Nothobranchius furzeri: one gene and its partners. The protein of the gene in region 1 purifies or fractionates together with the protein of each later gene. This does not show direct contact. Links are inferred from orthologs where the notes say so. Each region holds a gene or a part of one and is shown on either strand. Other genes may lie near its edges. The genes, in order: rpp30, pop4, rpp40, pop1, rpp25l and nepro.

Evidence for each region.
Region 2: the proteins of rpp30 (region 1) and pop4 purify together in Homo sapiens (affinity purification with mass spectrometry; 4 studies listed by BioGRID and IntAct, counting the BioPlex papers as one, with this or other methods). This does not show direct contact. The link is inferred for Nothobranchius furzeri from reciprocal best matches to the Homo sapiens genes RPP30 and POP4.
Region 3: the proteins of rpp30 (region 1) and rpp40 purify together in Homo sapiens (affinity purification with mass spectrometry; 3 studies listed by BioGRID and IntAct, counting the BioPlex papers as one, with this or other methods). This does not show direct contact. The link is inferred for Nothobranchius furzeri from reciprocal best matches to the Homo sapiens genes RPP30 and RPP40.
Region 4: the proteins of rpp30 (region 1) and pop1 purify together in Homo sapiens (affinity purification with mass spectrometry; 5 studies listed by BioGRID and IntAct, counting the BioPlex papers as one, with this or other methods). This does not show direct contact. The link is inferred for Nothobranchius furzeri from reciprocal best matches to the Homo sapiens genes RPP30 and POP1.
Region 5: the proteins of rpp30 (region 1) and rpp25l purify together in Homo sapiens (co-immunoprecipitation; 3 studies listed by BioGRID and IntAct, counting the BioPlex papers as one, with this or other methods). This does not show direct contact. The link is inferred for Nothobranchius furzeri from reciprocal best matches to the Homo sapiens genes RPP30 and RPP25L.
Region 6: the proteins of rpp30 (region 1) and nepro purify together in Homo sapiens (affinity purification with mass spectrometry; 3 studies listed by BioGRID and IntAct, counting the BioPlex papers as one, with this or other methods). This does not show direct contact. The link is inferred for Nothobranchius furzeri from reciprocal best matches to the Homo sapiens genes RPP30 and RMP64.

The regions. Positions count from the first base shown.
Region 1 is NC_091756.1:51,152,756-51,158,015, forward strand, and holds rpp30 (ribonuclease P protein subunit p30), read left to right. Parts: upstream 1-1,577; 5' UTR 1,578-1,651; coding exon 1,652-1,733; intron 1,734-2,374; coding exon 2,375-2,433; intron 2,434-2,711; coding exon 2,712-2,834; intron 2,835-3,007; coding exon 3,008-3,079; intron 3,080-3,556; coding exon 3,557-3,646; intron 3,647-3,726; coding exon 3,727-3,843; intron 3,844-3,965; coding exon 3,966-3,995; intron 3,996-4,134; coding exon 4,135-4,172; intron 4,173-4,333; coding exon 4,334-4,413; intron 4,414-4,492; coding exon 4,493-4,567; intron 4,568-4,730; coding exon 4,731-4,774; 3' UTR 4,775-5,027; downstream 5,028-5,260. Other genes in the region: nudt13 (NAD(P)H pyrophosphatase NUDT13, mitochondrial), read right to left, coding at 1-13, 149-291, 366-568. UniProt on the Homo sapiens protein: Component of ribonuclease P, a ribonucleoprotein complex that generates mature tRNA molecules by cleaving their 5'-ends. Also a component of the MRP ribonuclease complex, which cleaves pre-rRNA sequences.
Region 2 is NC_091749.1:7,822,671-7,826,405, forward strand, and holds the end of pop4 (ribonuclease P protein subunit p29), read right to left. Parts: intron 2,457-3,735; coding exon 2,395-2,456; intron 2,175-2,394; coding exon 2,073-2,174; intron 1,959-2,072; coding exon 1,822-1,958; 3' UTR 1,111-1,821; downstream 1-1,110. UniProt on the Homo sapiens protein: Component of ribonuclease P, a ribonucleoprotein complex that generates mature tRNA molecules by cleaving their 5'-ends.
Region 3 is NC_091751.1:33,813,607-33,818,840, reverse strand, and holds rpp40 (ribonuclease P protein subunit p40), read left to right. Parts: upstream 1-1,901; 5' UTR 1,902-1,975; coding exon 1,976-2,092; intron 2,093-2,138; exon of another isoform or gene 2,139-2,276; intron 2,277-2,368; coding exon 2,369-2,510; intron 2,511-2,610; coding exon 2,611-2,679; intron 2,680-2,752; coding exon 2,753-2,848; intron 2,849-3,823; coding exon 3,824-3,946; intron 3,947-4,331; coding exon 4,332-4,497; intron 4,498-4,564; coding exon 4,565-4,699; intron 4,700-4,768; coding exon 4,769-4,967; 3' UTR 4,968-5,206; downstream 5,207-5,234. Other genes in the region: riok1 (serine/threonine-protein kinase RIO1), read right to left, coding at 1,652-1,707. UniProt on the Homo sapiens protein: Component of ribonuclease P, a ribonucleoprotein complex that generates mature tRNA molecules by cleaving their 5'-ends. Also a component of the MRP ribonuclease complex, which cleaves pre-rRNA sequences.
Region 4 is NC_091745.1:50,264,977-50,269,675, reverse strand, and holds part of pop1 (ribonucleases P/MRP protein subunit POP1), read left to right. Parts: intron 1-514; coding exon 515-783; intron 784-860; coding exon 861-954; intron 955-1,032; coding exon 1,033-1,141; intron 1,142-1,208; coding exon 1,209-1,328; intron 1,329-4,699. UniProt on the Homo sapiens protein: Component of ribonuclease P, a ribonucleoprotein complex that generates mature tRNA molecules by cleaving their 5'-ends. Also a component of the MRP ribonuclease complex, which cleaves pre-rRNA sequences.
Region 5 is NC_091745.1:59,630,249-59,635,723, reverse strand, and holds the start of rpp25l (ribonuclease P protein subunit p25-like protein), read left to right. Parts: upstream 1-2,114; 5' UTR 2,115-2,217; intron 2,218-2,234; exon of another isoform or gene 2,235-2,258; intron 2,259-5,475. UniProt on the Homo sapiens protein: May be a component of ribonuclease P or MRP.
Region 6 is NC_091754.1:12,628,683-12,633,907, forward strand, and holds the start of nepro (nucleolus and neural progenitor protein), read left to right. Parts: upstream 1-2,125; 5' UTR 2,126-2,213; coding exon 2,214-2,298; intron 2,299-2,488; coding exon 2,489-2,643; intron 2,644-2,722; coding exon 2,723-2,811; intron 2,812-2,945; coding exon 2,946-3,074; intron 3,075-3,229; coding exon 3,230-3,307; intron 3,308-4,456; coding exon 4,457-4,758; intron 4,759-5,225. Other genes in the region: tex30 (testis-expressed protein 30), read left to right, coding at 338-409, 556-792, 872-923, 1,043-1,260, 1,448-1,612. UniProt on the Homo sapiens protein: May play a role in cortex development as part of the Notch signaling pathway. Downstream of Notch may repress the expression of proneural genes and inhibit neuronal differentiation thereby maintaining neural progenitors.

The DNA of each region.
Region 1 (5,260 bases):
ACAGACTGAACATCTGGAAGATAATCACAAGAGATGTTTGAAAGTGAAGGTTCTACTACTTCCTCTTCTGACTGAAGTCTTAGATCTTGATCTGTCCCTGACTTTCTGGATTCGCTAGTCTGTGGGTTCTGGTTCTTGGGCTGTGTACCTGAGTAGGTGAGAAAGACTGGAGATAAGTTTCCTCGGCCAGTCTGCTGCAGCAGTGGAACCAACCGATGAAACAGGAAAATGTGAGCGTTCTGCAGCGCTGCAACACACGCCTCATCACACTCCTTCAGACTGTTCAGGAATCTGAACAGAAACATCCATCCATGATCAGCAGATCAACCAAACAATTAATAAATAAGATGTCTAAGCCTCAGAACCTCATCCTGGACACGAAGCCTGAGTAGAAACGGGTCGGAACACAGCATCTGGCGGGAAAGAAAATCCTCAGAGGTCTTAACAGGGAAGCCATTCTGGACCGGACCTGCTGGATTAGGCCAGACTGATCTGAACTGGATTGGTGTGGTTCTGCTGCCTCAGCCTGCACACAGAGTCTGTTTTTATGTTTCTGCAAGATGTTCATTAATGAAGCTGATACTAACCTGTTTACCAGTCATAAGCAGCAGTTTTCCACTCAAACTAGTCTGATCAGGTCTGATTTAAATACACTTTTCTGAATAATTATTCTTGTGACCTCCAACAATTATTCTCACACTGCATCAGATTTATTTCACAGGCAGAAGTGTTAGATCGGTAGGATGCCCTGTTTAATAATCAGGGATTCTGTAAATCTGCTCGTTTCTGTTAGGTTACACTGAAACTATAGATTCGTGTCAGGCTAGTGGTTCTGAACACAAAAACCCGCTCAGAGTTCAGGCTGACCCGCTTTGTTATAGCAGTGTAACATCCACTTTGGTTCGGTTTAAGCGCGAGAATCTCAGACGTCTGCAGTAAATTTTCGACTTTTCACTGACCTCTGACCTTTTCTTCTTCTGCTGCTGCTGTTTGTTCCCTGAGCAGCGGTTTGGCACGGCTGCCCCCTGCTGCCAGACTGTTGTTACTGCAGCTGCAGTTCTTTGGAAGCAACAAAGTAAATAAAAATAACCTAGTGAACTACTAGACCTCTTGCGTTGCAAAGTTTAAATAACAGATTTATTTAGTCTGGCTTGCCAGGCTAGTGTAAAGCAGTAAATATGATTGATTTGAACTTTAGTCAAAATTTAGAAAATGAAAAATGAAAGTATTTGATTTCTTTGTAATTTGTCTGTCCTGGTATTAAAGTGATACTAAAATACTTTCTATAATAAAACAAAAATGCACCTCTGTTACTAATGTATGCTTAAATTAGTCATATTGTGTGTGCGTGCACGCACGCGCGCGCGCGCGTGTGTTTAAGTCACTTTAAAACAAGATACGTCTTCCCAGGAGGAAATATCCAAACAGGTTCATGTCAAATTGAGAAAAAAGATTAGCTTTATCACAGAATCCACTGGTTTTCTTCTTTTGTCGTTCTTGGGCTTGGGGCTTCCGCCACCAGCAGGTGGCGGTAATACAAAATATTCTGTGTCAGCCTCAGCCCGTGTCACTCACTCATCGAGAACAAGACTCCAGCTCCCAGCAAGCCTTGCGGTTTTCTATATGTGGAGCTGTATAGGTTCGTGGTACCATGTCTGTGTTTATGGACCTAAACGTGATGTATTCGTCTAATATAAAGCAATTGCAGAGTTTGGTGGAAACAGCTGCTCATCGTGAGTATTCTCGACCTTAAACCAGACCTTTTCTAGTGTTGTGTTTAGTTGGTCCGCCTCGTAACTCAGCTGGTTTTGGTTCGGCTGATGAGGCTCTGGTATCAGTTAAACACTGTCAGTAAATGACTTGATTTGTTAAGATATTAATCGATAATGCTTGTTTATAACATCACTAAGAACAACCCTTATCACTAGATTTTGTGGGAAAAGTTGAATCCGTTTATTAGAGAAATAATCGATCACAGCTTGTTTGCATCTAAAACCCACAAACCCGTAACATCGCCTTGGATTATGTACTTTTGATTAGGAACAATATTTCATAACAAAGCATTCTTTGTTGTCCATTTGACCCTTTGCACGTGCGTAACTGAACAATAACTGTTGAGGATAAAGCCTGAGACATAATCATTACGTCTGACAGGAAACAGAAAGATATCAGATGTTTACTTGATCTTCAGTAGTTTGGAGTATTTACATCAGTGACTGTGACAGGATCGTGATATCCACCTGATTCACACAAACAGAGCTCTTAAAGCACTCAATTTCCTAAACCCTACACAACCACAGATCCAGAATCAGAACCTGGATGATGCAAACCTCACTGAAGGGATTAACTGGGATTTTGTTTTCCCCTCCTACAGTTGGATATTCCACGGTCGCCATCAACTATGTGTTTGAGCTCGTAGCCAAGAAGAAACAGGTCAGACTACCTACTGCGCTGCATTGAGGAACAGCATGGAGTCAGATAGAAGCCTTTGATGTGGCTGCGTTTTGATACTTTATTACATTCTCATTCATTCTTATGAACAGAAACATCCAAATGGTAAAACATCAAAACGGGTTTTATAAAACTGATCTCCGAGCATTCACTTGATCTCTATGGTTAAGCAGATGCTGAATCAATCAGTTGATTGTCAATGAATTTACATTTTGTTTCAAACTTTTATTATTGGGAGTATGTTTATTTTGTCTTTGCAGGAAATTCCCTCACCAAAGCCGATCAATGAGATCTTTGATAAGCTGCCCATGGTGCAGGGCCGTTCTCGTCCAATCAGAGTGCTGAACAGACTGACGCTGGTGATGTCTGACGCCAGTCACTATGTGAGTTGTCTAATTAGAGCTAAGGGATCAATAATCTTGAAATGGATTGTATGATGTGATGCCACAGCCTGTTTTGTGTGTGTGTGTGTGTGTGTGTGTGTGTGTGTGTGTGTGTGTGTGTGTGTGCGTGCGTGCGTGTGCGTGCGTGTGTGTGCGTGCGTGCGTGCTCACAGCCGACCAACTCTCCAGCTTTTCGATTTTTCGACCTCATCGCCCTCCATTCAAGCTCTGAGAAAGTCTTCCATGTGAGCTTCACTGACACTCTGTTCATCTCTCCAACAGGATGATGCTTTCACTGACTACAGGAATGTTGATGGATGAAATATGTGACTTTAAAAAATCAACTTACTGGAAAAACGCACAACAAAACTAAACAAAAGACCATCTGAAACACAACTGGATATTTAACAAAAGAAAAGTTTAAAAAAGACAAAAAAATAATAAATTGACAACATTTAATTAGAAAACACAACAGGACCTAAACTGCAATTTCACTGAATGGAAAAGTTTTCAAGAAACACAACATTATAAAAAATAGAAACTAACTGTGGTTGTAATAGCAGTAGCTGTAATTTGTCCTGGAAAACACAGCTGTACAATAATTACACCTGTATGAAACAGACTGAGTGGAAAGCACTCTATTTTTACTGAAGTATGTGTATTATGTGTGTGTGTGTGTGTGTGTGTGTGTGTGTGTGTGTGTGTGTGTGTGTGTTATTCAGGCAGCTTGCACGTTGTACGATATCGACATCATCTGCATCCCAGTGACAGAGAAGCTACCCTTTTTCTTCAAGAGAGCGCCGATCAATGCGGTGACAACCAAGGCTTTTGTTTGTTTGTTTATTTGTGTGTGTGTGTGTTTTAATGAATGTGTGAACCTGTGTAAGTTCAGGCCATCGAGAGAGGCGTTGCATTTGAGGTATCCTATGCTGCAGCCATCAGAGACTCTACCATGAGGCGCTACACCATCGCCAACGCCGTGTGCCTGATGGAGAGCTGTAAAGGGAAGGTATGCATGTCCTTGCATCTGATTGGCTAGCTGCAGAGTAATTTACACTATGCTGTTATTTGACATAAGCTCTGTGACATCACGTTGCAGGTGAGATCTTGAGCTCTGTTTCTGTTTTTCAGAACGTGATCCTGTCGAGTGCAGCTGACAAGGTCAGTGATCAGCTACGTCTGTGGATCAAACATGAATTTAACTAAAGGTTCTGTTTCACCAAATCAGAACATTTCTAATAACTGAGTTTTAGCCCTTTTTGTCCACCGTACTTCTCTGACCTGATATTTGTGTTTTCAGTCTTGGGAGCTCAGAGGACCATATGACATCGCCAACCTGTATCCTTTAACCATTGTTCATTAATCTGACATAGGGCTCAGTGTTGCCGCAGTCTGTGAGATATCAGAACAGACCATCGTGTGTGTTTTCACAGAACTGTGTCTGGTGTGTAGTGTTGTACAACACATTTCATGTCTTGCGTTCCTGATCTGGTTCTCAGAGGTCTGCTGTTTGGTTTGTCCAACCGAGATGCTAAAGAATCTATCTCGTCCACCTGCAGATCTGTTTTACTGCGTGCGGGTAAATCCTGTTGAAGTTCTGCAGACTCGGGCTTCCTGTTGGTTCAGACTGTTTACCACACTGTTTGTTCATTTGTCAGAAACCAGGTCGACAGCCAGCGGCATTGTGCACACCTGGAAAACCCAGCAGGAGGCGCTGCAGGACTCTGCCGACAGTAAGTTTCCACTGCATTTATCTGAAGCTGAATCAGGCTGGAGGCGATGGTGATCTGTCCTTCAGAACTCCAACTGATGTTTTTTCATCATCTGGTTTCTCATCAGACTCAAACAAAGTAATGCTTGTTTCACCCAGGTCCCTCTCTGTGTTCATGTGTACAGGTGAAGCTCCTGCTGCCAAAAGGATGAAACCCTCTGACAGCTGAGGAGGCGGGGCCTTCCTAAAAGCAGCTGAATCAATTAACAGTTTAAATTAAAATGTCCCGTTTTGACTCTTCATAAATGGAAGAATGTGAATGTTTCTGAGAAAAATAGATCCTCTGTTTTCATGTAAAATTTTTATTTCCAACCTTTGTTGAGTAAAGGGTGTTACAACCCAATATTGGAATTAGGGGGACATTACTTTTTCGCCTAGAGGCAGGTCGTATTCCCGTTTTAATAAAAATTTGTGAAAATGTGTATGATTTATTATTTGCTTCAACGGTAACTGCTTTTTTACATTCTCATCTGTAAGTTGTTTTGGACTAAATCACATGATGCTGAAATTTACTTTGCTGAAACATTTTTGCTTTTTTTTTCTCCACAGTATATTTTCTGTTCCTGCAGCCTGATTTGTAATCTCAGTCTTAATCTGTAATTTGCCAGGCATCTTCTGCAGTAGCATCCACATCAGAACTCCAAAAACTTCCTTC
Region 2 (3,735 bases), on another chromosome or scaffold:
ATGAGGAGAACATGCTAATGCAACACATGCATGAGGAGAACACGCTAACGCCACACATGCGTGAGGAGAACATGCTAACACCACACATGCATGTGAAGAACATGCTAATGCAACACATGCATGAGGAGAACATGCTAACGCCACACATGCATGAGGAGAACATGCTAACTCCACACATGCACGAGGAGAACTTGCTAACGCCACACAAGCGTGAGGAGAACATGCTAACTCCACACATGCATGAGGAGAACATGCTAACTCCACACATGCATGAGGAGAACTTGCTAACTCCACACATGCATGAGAACATGCTAACTCCACACATGCATGAGAACATGCTAACGCCACACATGCATGAGGAGAACATGCTAACACCACACATGCATGTGGAGAACATGCTAACGCCACACATGCATGAGGAGAACATGCTAATGCCACAAATGCATGAGGAGAACATGCTAACGCCACACATGCATGAGGAGAACATGCTAACACCAAACATGTATGAGGAGAACATGCTAATGCAACACATGCATGAGGAGAACACGCTAATGCCACACATGCATGAGGAGAACATGCTAACTCCACACATGCATGAGAACATGCTAATGCCACACATGTATGAGAACATGCTAACACCAAACATGTATGAGGGGAACATGCTAATGCAACACATGCATGAGGAGAACACGCTAACGCCACACATGCATAAGGAGAACATGCTAACTCCACACATGCATGAGAACACGCTAACGCCACACATGTATGAGGAGAACATGCTAACTCCACACATGCATGAGAACATGCTAATGCCACACATGCGTGAGAACATGCTCACACCACAAATGCATGAGAACATGCTAACGCCACGCATGTTGTTGGCAGGATCTGAGTAAGGGGTAGCACTAAGACCCAGGCTTCAGAGACAATCATGATTTTGTAATGTCGTGATTGGGGGGTTAAATTATGACCAATAAGATGTGATGACTCTATATAAATATAGAATATCAACCTGATTGATCTTTGAATGTTTAACCAGAAGAATTTAGGATTCTTTGCTTATTCAGTGACTATAAACACACTTCGTATTAATTCAGACAGAGTCAAGTATATAATTAAAAATAAACTTTATTTTCTAGACTATAATACATGACAAGTTATGAATAACGATATGGGATGGATGTATATGTGGTGATTGAATGTGATGTTTATCAGAACCCTTGTATCTGGAAGAAACTGAGTTCTGGATGTAAAATAATTTGGTCTGCTATACACTAGTTGATTATTAATAAAGCATCAGACGCAATGTTGTGTCTACCAAGCAGTTGCTCAGAAACTAAACCGGACCTCATGAAACCTTCATGAGAACCAGCCTCTGCAAAACACAACCACTGATCAGGAAATCCACCTGTAGCAGCTCTGCTACCAGAAGCCATCATAGTTCTGGCTCTGAGGTCTGACTGACACCTGTTATCATCAGCTAAACCCACAAACCATGACTCTACAGCCGCATAACTAAAGGGTTGAGCCAGTTAAACCACAGAGGAACCTGGGAGCAGAGCTCTGCCTTGTGAAAACATAACCTTCACATTTTAAAAAGACACATAGAAACAAACTGTTTTGTTGTTTATTATTAAGTGTGACAGTAGGTGTGTGTGTGTGTGTGTGTGTGTGTGTGTGTGTGTGTGTGTGAGATCAGCTACATGTATGCAGGACAGAGCCTCCAACTCTTCTTCTCCATCACACAGCTCCACCCAATGCAGCTGATGATGTCATCAGCTCTTCCCTTTGATGAGTCAGCTGATCTGAGGTCCGTGGCCCTCACAGGTCCATGGTCCCTCTGATCTTGAACTTCTTGGCGGAGCGCTCGCTGGCCCGCTGCTGGAACTTGCTTCCATAGATGTGTGAAACGAATCCGTTGATCTCCACGGAAAACACGCTGTTCCTCTTGGGAATTACTGACACAGAGACGGGAAAGAGAAGCTGCCGGTTACAACGGTTCCGTGGTAAAAATCACTCATGTTCCTCTGCAGAGAACCAAGTCACGGTTGTGTTGGGTCTTGTCCTCTCACCTTTGAGTTTGTCCTCCTTGGTGATGAGTCTGAAGACGTGTTTGAACTCCTGCACTAGAATCCCTGTTGTCCCCACGTATGATGGACATCTGGACCGGACCACTGAGACAGGAGAACCGGTTATGTAGTCTCACATGCCAACAATACAAGCACAAGAGAGGGTGGGCCCAGTCTGCCCTGCTGTAAACCTCTAACAGAACTTTGATCATTAGAACATCAATTTGGTTCTAGATGCATCTTTTAGTAGGAAATATAAACTCAACCAGAAGCTGATCTGGGTTCAGGACCGTGCCTGTGACACCCAGAACCAGCCAACATCTACCTGTCAGGATGGCTCCATGGAGGTCTGCTTTCAGAAGCTTCTGCTGCACCAACTGTGGACTGCTGTGAAGACAGGAGACATGAAGGGACACCATCCTGCTGGTCTACTTACAGTTCACACGTGGCGGTGACACCTATCCTGCATGCTAATCATAATAATAATCATCAAACTTGTATAGCGCTTTATTAGGACACTCAAGGACGCTTGCGTGAACTCTCACATTCACACACTGCCAGTGATGGTAAGCTACTTCGTAGCCACAGCCACACTAGAGCGCTCTGACAGAGGTGAGGCTGCCATTTGGCGCCGCCGGCCCCTCTGACCAACACCAACACAGGCAAGTTGGGTGAAGTGTCTTGCCCAAGGACACAACATGTGGCCACAGAGGTTCAGTGACGTCACAAACTCACAGAAGCGATCAGGCTTTGAAGTCGAGTCAGATGCTGTGTGGGATCCGGACAGGTAGGTCTGATAACAATTATGAACAGAACTCTGACCCATGGTCAGCTGGTGTCTCTAGAACCACATCAGAACCATGTTATTTGTCCAACACCGGGCTGAAAAGCTCAGATTCCTCTGGTACAGGAGGATTTTTGCTGACATCATCGTTGTGTGCATGTTACAATACACAACTTACACTTTACCAAGAATTAACGGGCGAAATCCCTGATGTAACGCTTATAACGGTCGTTAATCAGTGTCCTTGTTCATTATTATGACGGTTGTTGATCAGTGTCCTTGTTTATTATTATGACGATCGTTATTCAGTGTCCTTGTTCATTATTATAACGGTCGTTAATCTGTGTCCTTGTTCATTATTATAAAGGTCGTTAATCAGTGCCCTTGTTCATTATTATAGCGGTCGTTAATCAGTGCCCTTGTTCATTATTATGACTGTCGTTATTCAGTGTCCTTGTTCATTATTATAACGGTCGTTAATCAGTGTCCTTGTTCATTATTATGACAGTCGTTAATCAGTGTCCTTGTTCATTATTATGACGGTCGTTAATCAGTGTCCTTGTTCATTATTATGACGGTCGTTATTCAGTGTCCTTGTTCATTATTATGACGGTCGTTAATCAGTGTCCTTGTTCATTATTATGACGGTCGTTAATCAGTGTCCTTGTTCATTATTTTGAAGGTCGTTGATCAGTGTCCTTGTTTATTATTATGAAAGTCGTTGATCAGTGTCCTTGTTCATTATTATGACAGTCGTTGATCAGTGTCCTTGTTCATTATTATGACGGTTGTTGATCAGTGTCCTTGTTTATTATTATGACGATCGTTATTCAGTGTCCTTGTTCATTATTATAACGGTCGTTAATCTGTGTCCTTGTTCAT
Region 3 (5,234 bases), on another chromosome or scaffold:
ATCAAAGAAACCGTAGAAGAAAAATGTGCACAACTTTAAGTGGACAAAGGACCTTGCTTACGCACATTTTGGACATGGAGAGCACCTGCAGTGCTGCTGCTGAGAAGGATAAAATTATGAAATCCTGCAGCATTATCACTTGTACTGCTTCGTTTTCACACAGAACAAGTAAACCCAAACTGTGCCAGTCTGTGGATTTTCTCTTATTTGTTTTGCAAAAGCACTTACTTTCATTTCTCTGCGTCATCAACAAGTACATCAATTTATGCTTAGGTGAAATTGCACTTCCTTGATCTGCGGTCGCCATCGTTAATGGTGGAGCGCTGCAACGAGCCGGCTTATGTATATGCATGAGATCCACAAGGTACTTTGCAGTGACCATTAAAGGCAGAAAGTGGGCGTGTTGGAAGTGGGACATGATCAAAAAACACCTGAGAACATTTCTAGGTAGTCTCTGATTCATAAAGCGGAGATTGTGTGCAATTGTGCGTACTCCATATTTTATAGATCACAAACCTACTTGGCATAAGTACATTTTTTTGCTGAGTTTAAGTACAGTTTTAGTAAGAATTCTATGCTATGTTTTATAGATGAGACCCCTGACCTGTACTGGAATGGTTATTGTGTGAAGGTCCTTGAGACGACTGGTCGTGACTTGGCGCTATAGAAATAAACTGAATTGAATGTTGGAAGTCCTAGTAAGCTCTGTTTATCCATGTATTTTATTCAAGGAGTGGAAGGAGTTTGGTGAAACCATGGTCCTGAGTCAGAAAAGGGTAGAATGCCTTGTCCAGGTCAGGGATGAGGTCCTGCCCCAAGTGGAAGAGTTTAAGTATCTCGGGGTCTTGTTCACGAGTGAAGGAAAGATGGAGCGTGAGATCGATAGATGGATTGGTGATGCAGGCTTTGTACTGGTCTGCCATTGTTAAGACAGAGCTGAGTCAGAAGGCAAAGCTCTTAATTTATTGATCTATCTACATTCCAACCCTCATCTACAGTCACGGGCTTTGGCAGTGACCAAAAAAATGAGATCGCAGATACAAGCGGACTAAATGCATTTTCTCTGTGAGGTGGCTGGACACCTCCTTAGAGATAGGGTGAGAAATGTGGAGGGGCTCGAAGTAGATCCTCTGCTTCTCCACATATGGTTAGGATGCCTGCTGGACCTGGTGAGGTTTTCCGGGCACACCAACCAGGAGGAGACCTAATGGAAGACCCAGGATACGCTAGAGGGACTATGTCTCTCAGCTGGCCAGGGAACACCTTGGGAATCCCCCGGAGGAGCTGGCCCAGGTGGTTGGGGAGAGGGAAGCCTGGGCCTGGCTGCTGATCAGCAGATGGATGTTCTCTGGTGTTTTTGTCTACAGCTGACTGAACTTCATGATGACGAGAAACAATAAGAGCCAATAGTGTTTAAAACAAAGCTGTTCACCTGTAGAACTCCTACAAATGCATCACTTCCGGTAGTCACCCACAGAACAAAACTAATCTTTATTTACGCAGGTTAAACACGTGGTTAGCTAGAAACGGCGCGCGTTCCCGACGCAGGGTACACGTTCTACCTGGGATACCGACATCAGTACAACACCGGAGCAGGACCGTTCTCATTAGGTCACGTTTCTGATCCAATACGTCACAAATAACAACATACCGGTTGTCCTCCTCCGCGTCATCAAACTGCCCTGGTACGGCAGCCACCTCCACCATGATGTCACGTGAATAAACAGAAACCAGGACCAAGTTCTGCTCGGGTTACCCTAGGTTCGGACCGGAGCGCGCTTTCACCACCGCGTGTTTTCTTCACTTCCGGCGTAGACCACGTGACTACGGGGACCCACGAGGCTCTGAAAACAGCACGACATCCTCCTGCTCAGATCTACAGAACCTGTAGAACATCCAGAACTTCCGCGGTTCCGTTTGGTTTCATGCTAACGGGTTCTCGTCTGGATCCGGTCTCGACGAGGGTACCGTGAATATGTGTTCGGATCTGGACCGGACTCCTCGGACTCTGCTGGTCTGTGATCGGTCCAGTTTCCTGGACGAGAAGAACCGGGTCAGCCCTCAGGTGGAGAAGCTGCACTTCAACCACAAGGTGAGAGCTGCGCGTGCACGCGCTGTGACGAGCCAGTGTTTTGCCCATGCCGTGCATGCCCTGTCGCGGGAGCGCGCATCGCTGCACCGACATCTGAGTCACGAGGCAACTGAAGTATAAACTTTTCTCATCCGGGTACTTGCTGAATAGATAGGTGAAAATAATAACAGAACCCTGCTGCCAGGTACGGGTCCAGGTGATGTCCAGTTTCTGCTGCTTCTACCTGCAGCATCACAAAGTCGTGCTACCTTCTGTTGACTGGGTTCATCTGTGCAGGTATCTGTACTGCTGCCTGGGTGTAGCGTCACCCCCTCCAACCTGGACTTGGTGATGAACACCTTCAGCAGTTTCTACCTGATCAAGAAGCTACCAGTACACGAGCTGCTGGACCCAGGCCTGCAGGGTGCCATAAACCAAGGTAACACAACACCTGTATATACCATTTAGTTATCAGTACACACCTGTGTGTACTTGTTATTTAGTACTTACCTGTACACACTTGTCTGAACCTTCTTCAGGTGTTGTGTATGGTCTGTCCTTTGGGACTCGCATCGATGAAGATACCTGTGTTGCTTTGATGCCAAAAGGTAAAACAGGCGACAGCTTTGACTTCTTCAGTGCAACATGAAAAAAACTGAGTGGTTCCTCTGGTCCCTGCAGGACGTCTGGTTCTGTCTCTGGACAAAGACTCGTACGAACTTCTGGGGGTTGAGGGGAAACCGTCCAGATTCAACCACAGAACCTGCAGCAGATTTGGTCAGGTTTACTTTTGTTTTCTAAAGGTCACCAAGTCCAGATCGATCCTGCAGACCTTCATCACTCTGGTCTGGTCTCTGGTGGGTCTGCAGACCTTCATCGCTCTGGTCTGGTCTCTGGTGGGTCTGCAGACCTTCGTCACTCTGGTCTCTGGTGGGTCTGCAGACCTTCATCACTCTGGTGGGTCTGCAGACCTTCGTCACTCTGGTCTGGTCTCTGGTGGGTCTGCAGACCTTCATCAGTCTGATCTCTGGTGGGTCTGCAGACCTTCATCAGTCTGATCTCTGGTGGGTCTGCAGACCTTCATCAGTCTGATCTCTGGTGGGTCTGTAGAACTTCATCACTCTGGTCTGGTCTCTGGTGGATCTGCAGACCTTCATCAGTCTGATCTCTGGTGGGTCTGTAGAACTTCATCACTCTGGTCTGGTCTCTGGTGGATCTGCAGACCTTCATCAGTTTGATCTCTGGTGGGTCTGCAGACCTTCATCACTCTGGTCAGGTCTCTGGTAGGTCTGCAGACCTTCATCACTCTGGTCAAACATGTCACCATATCACCAGCTGTGATGACACGATTTTCGTCTCCAGATCCAAAGTTTGTTTAAAGTTTCCACATTTTCTGTCAAGCGTTTCTGTATAAACCGCGCGGTTTGCGTAGAAAGTCCCTTACACCGTTTTCTGACCCGTTTTGTGCAGAAGCAGCTTTCTAAAGGAAGTCCCAGGACTATAGGTGTTGGGTCTCCAGGTACCAGGTGTGAAGGGACCCGTGCGGTAGCCTAAAAAAGCCAGTTGACTAAACAGCAGCAGAGCCAGGACACTGGGTGGAGTTTTAGGGTGAATTTATCCTCACTAGAAGGAACCTGCAGGAAAGAATGTCCAGATGTTCCTGACTCAGGTCCGGGTTGTTCAGTCCTGACCTGTTTGCTGAGCTCAGCCTGAACAGAACCAGAAACCAACCGAGTGTGATGTCTCCTGCAGTGGTCTCTGTGGACCTGACGGACAGCAGCATGGCACCTGGTGGACGGGGCCACACCCGGCTCCTTACAGGTCTTCGGTCACACCTTCAGCTGCAGACAGACTTCCTACTGTCCCATCATCCAGGTGACACACCATTGTTAAGGATGGTTACATGTGATCTTCTCCTTACAGGTGAAACTCATAAAAACTAGAACAAGGGGTAAAGGTCACTGTTGTCACTAATCCACCCTGAAAGGTGAGACTAATCAATGAGACAGACTCATCCTGTCAATCCAGATGTTTCCGCCTTTATCTGTTCTACCTGTGATGATTACGGCTTCCAGATGATGACGACCCCACATTTAACATCTCAGAATATCATGTAAAGGTTCAATGTTCTCCAATCAGCTGATGAATCCACAACACAGGCAGAGGCTTCCTGAGCCTTTAGATGGTCTCGCAGTCTAAACTGGACTTATGGACCAGATTCTCTTTTACTGTATCACCTGTACTCCATTCTGCCTCTCAGAGGGTGGGGCCTCTCTACAGCCACTCCTGTCTCGTTATGATTGGTCCAAACACGAACCTGAGGTCAGCTGCCGCCACCTGACTGACCTGACCTGTCCCGACTTTCGGTCATGTGACTGTCACAGTCTTCTGGAGTGGATTGGAGCTGTGGAGGCCGACATCAGCTGGTGAGTGGTCCAGTCAGGGTCACGTGTCCAAGTGTTGTGACTACAAGTCGTTCTTCTGTGGTTTCAGTGAGAGCTCATCCAGCAGCTTCCTGTCATCGTTCACCTGTCCAGAGCCCAATGACGTGCTCAGTCATGCTCTGAGCGTGTCCATCTGTGGCCTGCTGTTGCCACACGATGTGCAGCGACTGATCCAGGAGCTCAGGTTAGCTCTCTCACACAAGCACACCTTTACCTGAACAGCTGACGACAAAATAACTCACCTGTGCTTCAGGTGTCACCTGCAGCAAACTCAGCTGGAGTCCTGGGCTTCACTGACGGTTCACGGTTTCATCGATAGTCCAGTATCATGGGGGGACAACGAGCACGGGGTTCTGAGTGGAGGGGAGAACTTCTACAACTTGCTGATGTTCCCTGACCACACCTACCACCTCCACCTGGCCACAGGAGCATATGACACTTGTCCACCATGAGGTGACCTCTGGGTCACATACCCTCTCACCAAGATGAATTACTGTTGTCATAGAAAAAATCTGCCCCAAGACAGGAAATGGGTCAACAGTGCTGCATGGTTTCTTTCTGCATAGCTCCCTGGAGCGACCTTTAACCTTTACCTGAGTTTTTCTTTGGATTGTAACCTTTGACCTCAGAGCAGAATGTTTGTCTCCCGATTTATGAGTAAACCTGAAAATAAAACAACAATTTAACAACAGCTTCCTGTCGTGATCCCAGTGATGCGT
Region 4 (4,699 bases), on another chromosome or scaffold:
CCACTCTTCTGGTTTGCAGAAGCTTTTTCTTCCTGTAAAAGCATGTGTGTAGGTCCCTGCTACTTCTTACTGTAACAACCACTGGGAACACTCTGATTGGTTTTCCTGTTGATGTCTGTTTTATTTCTTGTAGAATCACGTTGAAGCCAGGCTAGTGAACTCTTCGTTGCCCTAAAAGGTCTAACAACTAGCTGTGTGTCTATGAGCGATACCAGCCTTAAACGACCCGATGGTTTCTTCTGCTGCATGCACCTTGCTGTCTCTGTAGTTTAGTTTGTGTGCTACCACTCGTGATCTGATTTAGTTGTGAGTTTTACTGCATAGTTCCTTTTTGTTGATATAAACTAGACTTTTGGCCATTTTTGGGTCCTCGTTTGGCCTCTCTGGCGCAGATGCTGTAGCCTAAGTCGGCTCTGCAGCAGTAATATCTGGATTAAACAGAGCATAAAATCTCAGGGTTTATTTATTAGGATTCTTAAAGCTGTACAATAAGTGATTTCCATTCTGTGCCCAGGATCTTCTCCCAGAACTTCAAAGTGTATGCCGGTGTTGGGAGGCTGTGCCGCCCTCCATTGACCCCGAGGTCTTGTGTGGAAAGGAGAAAAGCGCTCCACATCCAAAGCCTGAAAACATCCTGGAAGCAAAGCTGAAACCTGGAGCCAAGAGGAAGAGGAGCTCTGTGGATGCCAGTGAGCCTCCTGTGAAGAAGATTTTGGGTGATGGGACCAGATTACCGGGAACTACAGTAACCTGGAAGTCCAGCTCCACCGGAATAGTTATCAAGTTAGTGATGGTTCAAGTTTCATTCAGACAGAAACAGAAAAGGCAAGACGTCATAAGTGTTTATAAATGTGCTGCAGTGACCTCACCATGGAGATTGTGCGCTATCGCCTGATTGGACCACAGTCCCACTCTGTGCTGACTGAAGCCCTTGAAGCAGCGACGGTCTGTAAGGTAAGCTGTGGGCTTTCAGCTGCAGCAGCTTCTGCAGCAGACTCTGGATGAATGTGCATTTTGTTCTATTCTTCTAAGGAAGTGGATAAGTCCTTGGGCTCTACCTTCTGGTGGCCTCAGCACTGCAGCGATGAGAGCAACATGCTTCTGCATCAGCAGCAAGCTGATGTCTTCCACACACTGAAAGGTCAGCCGCCCCCGTGTGTTTGCCAGCTTGTAGACTCAACTCACGCTTGTTTGTGTAATTCTGCCAGGCATCAGTTCAACCACAGAGCTCCCCCCCGGCACAGTGCTGGGGCTGACGGTGGATGACCCCAGGCTGACTTTACCAACAAAGAAGATGAAAGTGTTGCCCTGCGTGAGCCAGGCCCAAGGTACACCTTACAGGAGTGGGTTTCTCATCCCACATTATCCAGCTGAATATTAGAGCTACTCGGGAGCTGGTTTCAGTCTGGAGGTTGTTTCAGTGAGAACACATCTGGTTCTGTACTCCTGGGGGGGGCTCTGCCTGGCCATGCAGATGTTCCAGGTTCAAATCCTGGCAGGACCCAGTACTCCAGACACAACCTCAGGGACTGACAGCAGCTGACTGCTTGTATGTAACCTAGGGCTGCAACAACGAATCGATAAATTCGATGAAAATCGATTACTAAAAGCGTTGGCAACGAATTGCGTCATCGATTCGTTGTGTCGCACAACTCTCCCAAAAGCGCGCCCCCTTCCCGCCCGCCGTTGCGCACAGAGCAAGTCAGATCAGCGCGAGGGAGAGCCGGCAAATCAGCGCAAGGTTCACGCTGCTGCGAACCGGTTCCGCCCAAGGCCGGATTAACTGGGCAATTGCCCAGGGCCCACGAACTCTAAAGGGCCCAGGGCACGAGCACAAAACTGTATCTATAATTTCCCCTTCATGAGGACTATGGTGACCGTACGTTCCGTTTTCCCCGGACTTGTCCACTTTTCACTCTCTGTCCGGGCGTCCGGACTGCGGGTTCTTGTATTGATGAAAATGTCCGGCTTTTCATCCAGGAGCAGGGATCGAATTATGGGGGAGCTGTATATCCTACACATCCAGGGAGCCGGAAAAAAGTTTTCTATATTATATCATTTTTGGACTCTTGAGCAGAGAGTGGTACAGCGCGTTGTTGCGCAGCGCTCCAGGCAGCTGCTTCCAGCGCACGGTCCATTCTCAAAGTGGCGCAACCAAACAACTATAATTAGCACACGATCGTTCATGTCCACACATGTTCTCTATTTTCTGTCTTATTTGTGCCTGAAGCGCGCTACTGCGGAGCTCATCACCTGTGCTGTGGTGATGTCACCTCACGCAGCATCGAAAACGCGCTCTGCGCTTTGCGGTCAGGAGATCCCTTTGATCTGCTCAAAAGTAACTGATGAGGTGAAAAGGTAAGAATCCAGGCAACAGATTTTCTGGAGAGTTTATAGGAGATGCAGGAAGATGAGAGACAGACAGGACAGGAAAATAGTTAAATAAAAACAAGAAAACAAAACAAAGTGTTGAAAAGTAAAATGTAGGTAGATTTATCTCCACTACACGTTTTTACCAGTAAAAAACAATAAGTTAAACACATGTAATATTTATACATCTGATACAATTCAGATCACCTTCAAAACTCAGTCACACACCCAGGGCCGTTTCAAGACATTTTGGGGGCCAGGGCAAAATGCCCCCCCCCCCCCCACCACCACCACCATAACTGGGCTCCCCAGAAGCCTCTGTGTAATCCATACCCTCTCCAGTAGTGTTAGTTATACAGTGTTTATAAAAGCCCCTCAGACATTACTGACATGTTTTAATATTATCACATGAAAAACTAAATTATCAGACATGCTGTCTCATCTGCTGCTTTTCTAAACTTGCAAAAAGTAACAAAACCATGTGAAAGCCACTATTTGTGGATTCTCTGAAAGTTTCCATGGAGTGTGGGACAACTTATTTTTTCATTGATCCTATCGTCTAATCTCACAGCTGAAACAAGCATCCTTAATAATCTGTGCACAGGAAGCTTACCAATGCTGTAGTAAAACAAAAGGTATAATAATTTCTTATTAATAAAACCTTGTTGCAGCACTAAAGCAGAAAAATGAGATTTTGCATTAAATATGCAAAATATTTACATATGAATTGTTTTAGAGCCCTTTTATTGGCAGAATCTGATATTAATTTAGTTCTTACAAAAAATGGGTCCCAACATGGTTTGTGTGGCGTTTCCATAGTGTGATGTCATAGGCACAGATCCCCTGTCCTCTTGTTTGGAAATGGAAATATGGTCACCCTATATTAAACAAACTGTCCACCCGGGCTTTTGCGCTGCACAGAGACGCTTCGCTGCCTATGACTGAACGTCAGTTGAGAGTCAGTCTCATGCAGACTGACCAATGAAGAGAGGGCCTCAAGACCCTCTCCTCATTGGTCAGTCCACACGAGGTGGGTCAAAGGTTACTCTGGGCAGGTTACGTGTTGTCAGGCATTCCATTATTGAGTACATTTACTGCATATTACAGTAAAATATTCTGTATGTGACCACATTATGGTGATCCTCGGGTCGTGATGATGGAGCCCTTGAATATTGTTGCCCAGGGTACAACAAAGTGTTAATCTGGCCCTGGTTCCGCCGTCACATTCCCGCAGAAACTGGTTGATCACACCGGGGCCAGACTACTAGCATGTGGTTTTACAACCACAATGTCCTCAGAAGCAAAAACGCTTGCTGCAGGCGTGTTGTGTGAGAGTGCAGTTATATACTGGTTAATATATTTTTGGGTTCAGTTGCTTTCATGTGGCCTAATGTGAGTCTATTTGGGATCATTGGAATGATCAGCAGCATTTCTTGATGTGACTTTATGGCAGTTGCCCAGGGCATCATCACAAGGAGGATGGCATTCATTTACTTTTGTTTTATTTGGTATTTTTTCAGTCATTTTTGGAAATAGTGATTAATTTTGATTAATTCACAGCCAATGTTTAATTACATTTAAAAATTAGTTGTTTGACATCCCCAGTTATAATAAATGTCAACAGATGAGATCAAACAAAACAGATGAGAATTGCCCTTAAGCTGTTTAACTTGGACCAAGCATTTTAGGTCACAGATAGATGTAGCTTAGGGTCTCTGTCTATACACCTTATGAGACAATTTAGGTGATGGCATGTTGTTTTTCTGCTATTGAACTGTTTTCTAATAATGTTGTGTTAAATAAAGTGAAGGAAGGAGAGAAATAACGTTTCCCTAGCAGTTTTAAAAAAATTTCCCCATGTAATCCGATTAATCGATTAATCGTGTCGAGACCCCATCCGATTCATCGATTATCCAAATAATCGTTTGTTGCAGCCCTAATGTAACCCAAAGGAGCTGTTCATCAGAGAGGGCTTTTAAGATCTTCATTTCTTACTGAAACTCGGCTAATTTTGAGCCTTTTCATGAAACGGGTGTGTGTCTACCACACAACACCCAGGATGTGGTGGTGGATGTCTTACTGTCGTCTTTAAGGACAAACTTGTGGCCCTTTTTCTAAATCTGAACGTCAGGTCATCAAAGTAGGGTTACGACATGGATTTGAATGTGCCCACCTCCAGAACGGAACATCCAGTCTGTTACCTTACGGTTCCTGGTTTTATGTGGAACTGTTTCTCTTTACTGCTCCCCAGCCCCCCTAAGACACAACTGAGAGGGTTAGGGTTAACCGGACACGGAGAAGTTTACAGGAGAGGGTCGAAGAGAAATGG
Region 5 (5,475 bases), on another chromosome or scaffold:
GAACTGTTTACGGGGTGGATTTTTGAATACAAGATTAAAATTAGTTTAAATGGGACCCGAAGAAGTTCTTGAGGACGCCAAACGGAAAAGACGCTAAGAGACGAAGGTAAGTAATAGTTTATTTTCCTGACATCAGTATTTTGATCGTAGTCGCACGTTTCTGTCATTTACTTTTAAGTTCCTAACTGAGTCTATCCACAGTTAATACTGATTTGTTGTTCCTTTGTAACATTAACTGTAAAATAAAAATGAAGTTGCTGCATTTTAAGCCTTAGACACGTTGAGATTGGATCACAGTATTAATTTATCTATGACTTTCTCGCACCACTGACTGGAAGCATCAGCGGCCATGAAAAGAAAAAGGGACATCTTGTCCTTTTTTACGGCTGTTAATAAAGAACAGTATAGGCAGAGAGAGGATGAAAGTCACAAGGGAGCTGAGAAGCAGGATGAAAGAGAGAAGGAGGAGTTGGTTGGAGAGGAACCAGAGAGGTCAGAGGCTGTCCACCCTGAGAGTGAGGAGGAGGAAGATGTAGGCTGTGAGGGAGAGAGTGAGGAGCAAAAAGAGGGACATCTTCTGTCATGTGCACTGTGTGCACTACCGTCAGGTTTGTGGGTGTTAAACAAACCCCTCTGTGTTTGCAGCTCATATTGTGTGTAAAATGCATTTGAGGCATGCTGACTCTGGACCAAAATTTCTGTTGTTTATATTTAATAAATAGATAAAATAAGACTCAGAGTTAACTAATTATGACTTTTATCCTCATGCTAACATTTATTTTCTTTCAGATATCAGCAAGTGCAAGGATGACCCACCTACTCAGCCTCATTTGAGAACATTTCCAGTGACATTAATAGGAGACAGAAGATGCAGCTTTCAGCCAAGCTGGTATGAAAGTCATCCAATTGGGTTGAATATTCTGTTACTATGGACTCTACTTATTGTCATGCATGCAGACATTTTAGCCCACCAAGTAGCGCAGGAAGTGTGTTTGACTCACCATGTGGATTTAGGAACTGGAAAAAAGCAACTGAGAGAGGAGGGGGGTTTTCAGTACACGCAAAGTCTGAAAGGCATAAGGATTCAATGATAGCGTGGAGGGACTACCAGAGGGCTGTGAAAGCTAATACAACATTGGCTAATATACTCGACAAGGAACTCAGTAAAAAGGTTAAAGAAAATCGTGAGTTTATCAAAACAATTGGTGAAGTGATTTTGCTTATGTGTGTGTGTGTGTGTGTGTGTGTGTGTGTGTGTGTGTGTGTGTGTGTGTGTGTGTGTGTGTGTGTGTGTGTGTGTGTGTGTGTGTGTGTTGACTACAAAAAGCAGATTGTATTGTGCAGATATTTTATTTGTTTGAATGTTTATTTTTCATATGTACAGTTCATATAATCTTCAAATAAAGTCACAAACTATAATAATTGACTAGAATTGTTTTTTACTCAAGTCTCATGTTGCGGTGAAGCATTCAGAATTGTTATCTGAGTACCATAAAAACATGCCAGTTTTACTTTCACAAGTAAGCCATTACTGCATTCGCCGTAATAGTTTACTTGTTCATTGTCTTTTAATATGATTTTTTTTCTTGTGCCCCCATGAAAAAATACTGGCCCCACAGTGGCCCCCCTGGAAAATTTGGTCTAGAACCGCCCCTGGTTTGGTGATGTGCAGGAACAGGTGGAAATTTTTGTCTCAATGGAACTTCAAAATAGAATAATTTTCAAAATAAAAATGAATTTGCATACATTCTTTACCAATTGATTTTTGCTTTTTGGATCGATGGCCATGATGGATGTGTCAAAGTAGATCAATGTATTGTTACATTGTGAGTACATTTTGAGGCATGCTGAAATTTACTGAAATGTCCCTGGAGCTTCCGTTTGTCACCTGACGTGTTAAGAGAGAAACAACAGCTGTGTTCAGTTTGCTTTGAAACATCACAATAAAAACTCTTAATTAATTATGAGTTCTGCAGTCTTATTTGCTTAGACAGTGTAACAAAATAGTCCTTGCTGTGATGGAGCATCTGGGCTTGTTTTCCATGGTTTTCATAGGAATTTTATTGTTTTTCTGAAACGTATGATTCGCGGTACTTTAAAAAACTACAAGTGTCTCGTGAGTTTACGACAGTTTTTGTGGTTTTACGGTAACGTAACCTGTTGTGGTAAACATGCGGACTCGGAGCAGTGTTCAGTAGTAAAAGGAAAGAAGTAAAGGTAAGAAGATAGTGTTTTCATGCTGCAGCGGACCACCTAAGGTTTTTATCTTGTGTTACCCCTTATGACCTGCGTTTGTCTTATTTATGACCATTTTAAAAACACTTGTTTACTGAACGGTTAGCTTTAGGTGAGTCCGGGTGAAGCAGCTTCCTGCGGTGAGGTTTATTATCATCTGAGGTGTTTTCAGGTCAGAGTTTGAACAGCCTTGTTGGCACATGTGGTTAGTTGGAGTGGTTGTTGTTTGAAGTTAGCTGTCTAGCTAGTGTGCTAAAGGCTAACACCGCATTGAACGCGAAGTTAAATTATATTGTGTATCATTTCTGCGTGTGATGATGTCATAAGCATGCCGAACACTTAAAAAGACGCAGAATTGTATTTTAAACCTTCGTTTAAAACCAAGTTCAGCGACGTCATCACATCTGGGTAAAAATGCTATTTTTGTGTGGAGTTTGGTTTGCGCTCAGAACTGAATTTTATATCTGTTTAAAAACTCAAAAGGTTGGAAATGTGTTTAATCATGACTAGGGTTGCCAACTCCCTGAAAAATAAATAAGGGACACCTCGCGGGCAGGGCGCTCCAGGCCACCCTTCCCAGCGTGGTGATTTTTTTGCTCTTTTTTTGTGTGTGGGTGTGAAAGGATTTTTTTTTTTTACTATTTGACTTGAAGTTGGTTTAAGAAGATGCATATTCTTTGTGATATGAAAACATGGGAAACAAATGATCATTTAGCCATTTATTTATGGCGTGAAATTACAAAATTATTATAAGTAACAAAGGTATTTTTCTTAAACAGAAAACTGTTATGCTCAACTTTTTGTGCAAAATGACAAAAAAAAGTAGGTCTCTTTCTTAAACGGTAGCCTGTTATGCTTTACTTTTTAGAATATAAATAGCTCTCTTTAAAACAACTCTGTTCTGCTTAACTTAAAATTGTATAAATTAATAGAAAACAACAGAAAGAGCAACGCTGTAACTGCACATTGAGTGCAATTAGAAAAGTGCAAACAGAAAGTCTGTGGAGAAGCTGTAAACATATTTGTGCCTCAAAGGCCTTGACTGTAGCCTATGGTTGAAGTAAAAAAAAAAAAGTCCAAACTCATGAACTCAAAAACTCAATGCTACATTATGTGAAAACAGACTATTTTCGCCATTTGTATTTCTTTTGAGATCTTGCTGCATTTAGGAGTTGTTTGTCTTTCAGTACTGCAGAGTAAAACTCTGAGCAAGACATGTCACAATTTAGAGTGACAATGAGCTCACATCTAATTATTTCAGTAGAACATTTGTTCCGCACATCAGTCCACTTATTCTTCATGAGAGAGAAAATCCTCTCTGCCAATCCAGTGGAAGATGGGATGCTGAGTACAAACGATACAACAGGCTGGATGTTGGAGAGGTCAGCTGCCTGAAGAATTTCTATACACTTCTCTGCTGTTCCCTTGGACTGCCACTTTTCCTTCTCCTGAGGTCCTTTGGTGAGGTGCTCCAGAAGGCTGGCTGCAGTGACACACTCGTCATAAAGCTCATCCATAGAGATGTTTAACCTGCCAATGGAGATAAGAAGTAAACCTGGGTTATAAGCACCACATAGAACACTTACAGTGGTAAATAAATGGAAAACATTTATTGTATATTTATTGCATTGTATAGCTTTTATACAATACAATAGTTCACTTTATTTATTATGTATTTATCCATCCTTTTAGTTTAAAATTATCCAAACAACATATAAACCAAGACAAGGCTACATCGAAACTAAACACCCAAGTTAAAAAAAAAAAATAGAAAAACTAATGACAAAACAGAAACAGACAACAAAAATAATAAAAATAATGGTAAACAAGCCCCAACACAGTGGGTTTTTTTTTCTTCATATAAATACCTTCACTTTAACCAGAGGGTTTAAAAAAGCAATGTTTACTTACCATATCTGCTTCTGCCATGGCCTTGTGGACGACAAATGGATCGAGGGTTCCCCGTAATTTCACGTCCTTTATGTTTTTCATGTGGCTACTACTAGACGCATGTTGCTTGAGGTCAGTGAGTCCACCATGCCCTTTGGAAAAACTGCGCCGGTACACGGTGCAGTGCGCTTTATAGGTGTTCTCGCGCAGTTTTTCCAGCCAGGAATTTTCCTTTTCCCATTCCTCCCTGTATTTTTGAAGCCTTTTTTCTTCTTTCTCGGAGGGGTACTGTCGTCCGAGACTTGTACAGCAGTGTCGGCGTTAGTTTCCCGGTTGGCCGTGCTGTTTGCTGTCGTCTGTTTTCTTCCGGTATCTTCTCCCCAAGCGACCGTTCCTCGACCAATGAAATAAGCGGTAATCTTATCGTCATATTCGTGTGTAAGCATGCGGTCAGTTCATTAGTCACAGAGCAGGCGAAGGGCTGGCTTTCAAACAAAGCGTTAATTCCGGTAATAGACTACAGACTAATTTTGATCCATACTATATTACGGGACAAAGTGCGTCCCTTTTGAGTTCAATACGGGACGTGCACTTTTGTTTCTAAATACGGGACGATTCCGTTTTTCAAGGGACGGTTGGCAACCCTAATCATGACTGATCAGCTGCTTTAAATGGGAAAACTTCAGTTGTCCCTAACATCCTGACTTATTACAACATATTTGTTAAAATAAAACAATTTCTTTTTATTCTGTTCAGTAGCAATCCCTTTCCTTCACAGCACTGTACAAGTTGTAATTATAAGTCTCAAAATATGTTCCGTATTCAAGAAGTAATTGAATCAGCATGCTGACACTTCCTCTGTCAAAGAGAGGGGGGCCTAACAGATTAAAGATGGTGGCAGTCACGCAGGGCTCATCAATGTCAATGGTTTAGTTGTTTCAGTGTCCCCTAAAGTGTCTGGGGGGCACATGTCTCCTTTATATTCCTGCCACACTTTGTGGCTGTTTTTCAGCATTTATTTATAATGGGGTCAGGGATGAGGTCCTGCCCCAAGTGGAGGAGTTTAAGTATCTCAGGGTCTTGTTCAGGAGTGAGGAAAAACTGGAGCGGGAGATTGACAGGCAGATTGGTGAACCGTCTGTCGTGGTGAAGAGAGAGCTGAGTCAGAAGGCAAAGCTCTCGATTTACCAGTCGATCTACGATCCTACCCTCACCTATGGTCACGAGCTTTGGGTAGTGACCGAAAGAACGAGATCGCGGATACAAGCGGCCGAAATGAGTTTTCTCCGCAGAGTGGCTGGGCTCTCCCTTAGAGACAGGGTGAGAAGCTCAGTCATCCGGGAGGGGCTC
Region 6 (5,225 bases), on another chromosome or scaffold:
GACAGGGTCTCATATGCCTTAGATATCTCAGATTTATGTGATAGTATCTCATAATATAGATACTAAAAAAGTCCTAGGACTTAGCTTTTATATGAAAGCCCATTGCCGCCACTTAAGAGATACCTATCTCATAATTGTTGGATATTATTTTATATTATTATTATTATTATTATATAATGTTGGGATTAACTAAATAATAATTATGAGAAAAATAATAGTTTAGAGTGGCGGGAATGTGCTTCCACAGAACAGAACATTCCTATTTATATAATGTTTTCTTATTCTTGAGCTGCTGAAGTCGCCGACGCCGGTTGCAGTTACACCTCCTGACCGCTAGATGGCTCGCCTTCGTTGTCGAGCTTCATTTTTAATTAAGAAGCAGATGCAATCAATGGCGACGTTTGATGAGGTAAAAGTTACTTAAACACTACTAATTAATATACTATTGACCTTAACTCAAGCCAGATTATGATTATGAGCGTCTCAAGGTAAATGGAACAGATAAGAATTTCACAAGTTAAAAAAAACACCGTTTTTGCCGTTGTTAACTTTCAGGAACAGGTGAAGGTCCCGTTTGGGACAAAAGTACTGGATGCTGCTTTGTGTGTCCCAGCCTCAGTAAAAGATGTCCATACAGCTGTTGTACTCACACACGGAGCAGGGGGAGACATGAACTACAAACATCTGGTTTCTCTGGCACACACTTTAGCATCAAATGGTTTCATCTGCCTTCGTTTTACGTGTAAAGGCTTAAATCTGAGTTATAGAGTTAAGGCGTATTGTGCAGTGTGGGTAAGGGTTTTCCATTTTTTATAAAATTATGTTAATAAATTCTAGTGTGTATTCACACGTTGCTGTGTTTTTGCTCTAGGACTACTTGAAATCATATCAGAAGTATACAATAAAACACACGTTTGTTGGAGGTAAAAGCCAAGGAAATGATCAGTTGCCATATTCTAAAACTTAATTACATATGAAACAGAAACGAGTATTAAAAATAAAACAAATATATATTTTAAAATTTTTTTCTGTATGTTGACAGGCAGGTCATTGGGATGTCGTGCTGCAGCAGCACTGGCCAGGCAGCTGAGTGAGGAGTCGAAGGAAGCAGCAGTGCAGGGAGTCATCTGTCTCTCTTTCCCCCTGCATCCTCCAGGACAGAGGCATATCCATCACCAGCGGAGCGAAGATCTCCGGATGCTGCCTGAGTGCCTTCATGTGCTGTTTGTGTCTGGCACTGAGGACAACATGTGTGACAGGGTGAGGGTGAAATATGTACCGGGCCTTCATCCTGGTACCTTTTAAGTTCACTTATTCAGTTTTTTATTTGTTTAATTTTATGTTCATTATATCCTAAAATCTATAATTTAGTGACATCATGTATTATTTTATCCATTTCAACTTTCACAATTATATTTCAGTCATTGTATTTACTTATCTTTTTTAGGAGCTTTTCAGTGGAGTACTGAAAGATATAAAAGCTCAGGCTGAAGTTTTATGGATAGCAGGAGGCAGCCATGGACTGAAAGTGAAAGGAAGGTCTGAGGATTCTGTGATGGATGAGATCAACCTGAAAGTTATCAACTGGATAAAGAAAATTGAGTTTAAGTGAATCACTGGAGTCATCTTGTTATTAGTTTGTTTCATTTTCTTGCATTTGTTAAATAAAACACATTGTTTTTATTACAACAAATCTGTTGGTACAGTTTTTACTGGGTGTTAAAACTTTATTATGCAAGCAAAGTATTCACGTTAATTCATTTTCTAAATGTGTGCACATTGCAAGAGCAGAGTTGCAAATATTGCAACATTAAAAAAAATAAGTAGCTCAAGCACGTGGGGATGGCAAACTTGTAAAATTATTTAAAAATATTTATTCAATATTTAATAAATGTTTCCAATTTTACCACATAGTGTATAAATACATTATCAAAAATATCCTTTTTTCTGTAGATTTTAAATATTCAAAATATGTTGAATTTCACTTCAAAATGTCTTAGAAATACTTTGATTTTTAAAAATGGTAAATTGTTTCTGTAACAATTTAAAAAATATAGAAGAATAAGCAAATGTCTTATTTATCTATTAGTTTTATTATTTTCAATTTTCGATTTCAAGTGTCAAACTTGTTTCTGTACCTTTAAATCCAATGTTGACGTCACACACTCGAACACTATTGGCTAATCGGCTTCCGTACATGGAATGCAGAAAGCATGGCTGCGGAACCATGGAACAGGGTAAACATTCCCTTTCCCAGTGCGACATCAAGCGTCCACATACGTCTCACATCAACAACAGGTTTGGCTTTTTAACTTTAAAATAATTACGTGTTTTACTTATATTGTCTGATGTCTCGCGCTCGTTTCAACGCGTAAAAACCGCGCCGATCTCAGCCCTCACGTGTGCGCGCAGGGGTTTTGCGTCGTGTGCTTCGATGGTGACACTCGTGTGTGTGTGTGTGTGTGTGTGTGTGTGTGTGTGTTTCTAGCTGAGGTTTTCAAAACCCTGCAGCGGGAAAACAGCCAAGTCCTGAAGCTTCTCCGCAGCAATATTCTTTGGACGGAAATCAGAGTTCTGTACGAGCTGCTGTACGTTCTAAACAACAGCATGAGAGGCAACAAGACGTTCAAGGGGTTACAACAGGTCAGCACCAAAGCTGCAGAATAACTGTTTTGATGTGGACTTCTTTAGATGTATTTGTCATGTCTGACTTCTCCCACAGGTTGAACAATGTGTAAACAGACTGAAGAACATGAAGCTTGATGCAGCTCTTGAGGATCTTGCAAATTTGTGTCCAACTAAGATTCAAATGTAAGAAGCAAACAACCCAAGGCTCTTCCTTTATAGTTGATGAAACAGGATAGGTCAAATCAAGTTTTAAAATATCTAAAGCGCAACCTTACACAGCTTTTTTCAAACTAATGTTAATTTGTGTGCATTTTTAGGACACTGTGCACCAAGAGCGGTGAGTGCAATGTTCCAAGTCAGCCCACGCTGGAGTGGACCTGCCTCAAAGTCCTGGGAGCCAGCAAACTCCTAAGCTGCACCTTGACCCGCTGCAAAAGAGCCTTTATGTATCCTGTTTTAGAGGATTGTGTTATCTGTGTGCATCATAAAAGTATCGGTGTCATGTCGTTTTTGACTGCTGGCGTCTTAGTTAGGGTTTAGTCTTTTTCTGATCACTTTATTGCTGGGGGGGGGGTTTATCCTTAACACATTTTTGTTTCAGACTCACGAGGCAGCAAATGAAACTGGAGGAGTTTGTGTTATTGTGTTTGGTGATCACCAGCATGCTCAGTCGTTTGTGGTAAGAGAAACTTTGAGAAACTGCAAAATAGAGGCTGGAGCAAATGTAACTCCAGAAAAAGCCATTTTTACTGATCATTTTCGGAGCAGTGCCTCGTGTTAGATTATGGGCCATTCCCATCTGTACCGGGTCGGCCCCAGCCTGGCCCGGTTGATTCCACACATCCTTGTCTTAAGCCCATGTGGACTGATTCTTCCCACCAATCAGAGGCTTGCTCTAATGGAAGGTGTGAATTTGCTGTCAGCAGTGGGTGTGTTAGCCCTGGTCGGCCTGAAGCAGAACCCCTCGAGAGAAGAGGGCTGAGAATGAGCCTTGGTTGGCCCGGTAAAATACCAGGCCACCCAGATATGTAAACAACCTACGCTACCCGGCCCGGGCCGACCCGGTACAGGTGGGAATGGTCCATTAAGCCCCATTCCCACCTGTACCGGGTCGGCCCGGGCCGGGTAGCGTAGGTTGTTTACATATCTGGGTGGCCTGGAATTTTCCCGGGCCAACCAAGGCTCATTCTCGGCCCTCTTCCCAAGGGGTACTGCTTCAGGCCGACCAGGGCCAACACGCCCACTGCTGACAGCAAATTCACACCTTCCATTAGAGCAAGCCTCTGATTGGTGGGTAGAAGCAGCCCACATGGGCTTAAGGCAATGATGTGTGGAATCAACCGGGCCAGGCTGGGGCCGACTGGGGCTACCCGGCCCGGGCCGACCCGGTACAGGTGGGAATGGGGCTCTTGTTTACAACACTGCTGTAGCTAGCGCTAATGATGAACAAGAGCCAACTGATACCAAATGATCCACAAAGTAAAAAGGTCCACACCATTGGGAAAAAAAAATGTTTATTTTTTAAATTTACACGTGCAGTAGCAACAAATCCAGGTCACCATCAGTCTGAAATTTTGTAGCTTCGTTTAACTCCCTCAGATGAGTGTAGGCTGTGCCGAGGTTCACTCTGGTTTTACCTCTATGTTTAGATCTTTTTTGGGCTTTTTATTGGCGAACTGATAGCAGTTTCTGGTCAGTGGAGGCCTACAGAGTTATGTCCAATGTGAAGTTGCTAAAGGTACTGGCTTAAGAACCACTGAAACCAGTTTGAAACCAGTATCTTAAAATGTAAAAACTGTTGAAGTTCTCCTTTTCTGTGCCTTACCAGGGTGATTTTCCGTGGTATCCTGGTTGGGCTCGCCAAACTGTACCCGAATGTCCTGGAACTCCTCAGGGATGTGTCCCAGGCCCAACCCATGCCATACCTCACTGGCATCTCCCTGCCAGCTACTATCGCTGAGATTCTGAGTCCTTCTGATAAATTATTACTGAAGACGCATTGTGCATTTCACTCTCACGTCAAAGATCAGAAGATAAAGCAGCAAAGCAAAAAGAATGTTCCAGATAAAGAGAGAACCCAGGGAAAGAAGAGGAAGATTACAGAAGACCTGGGGGTTTTGGTCAAAAGAGGTATAGTGTCTTGTCTTCTGTTTTACCTGGACTAGGGCTGGGCGATATGGCAAAAATAGAATTTCACGATTTTTCCAATATTTTATCACAATTTCGATTTTATCACGATTTTTTATCCATGAATAGCATAACTTCTATTGCGTATTAAAGAAGAGAAACATTGAATAAACAAACATTTATTCATATTAGGGATAATCAACACAGTGCTAACACACTTATATTTTAAACTCACACCAGAGATGATAAAAGCCCTGAGAGAAACAATTACAAAAATCAGTTTTTCTCGTTTTTCAAGTAACTTAACATAAATTAAAATCGTAAACATATTTAAAGTGCAAACATGTCAATTGCAAACGTATTGTGCAAACATTAACTTGTTCAAAATACTATGTAGCTCCCAGTTGCTCATGTAGTGGATAGTTAAGCTCAAATATGACTCTGATGTGCGGCTGGACCAGAGATCGCTT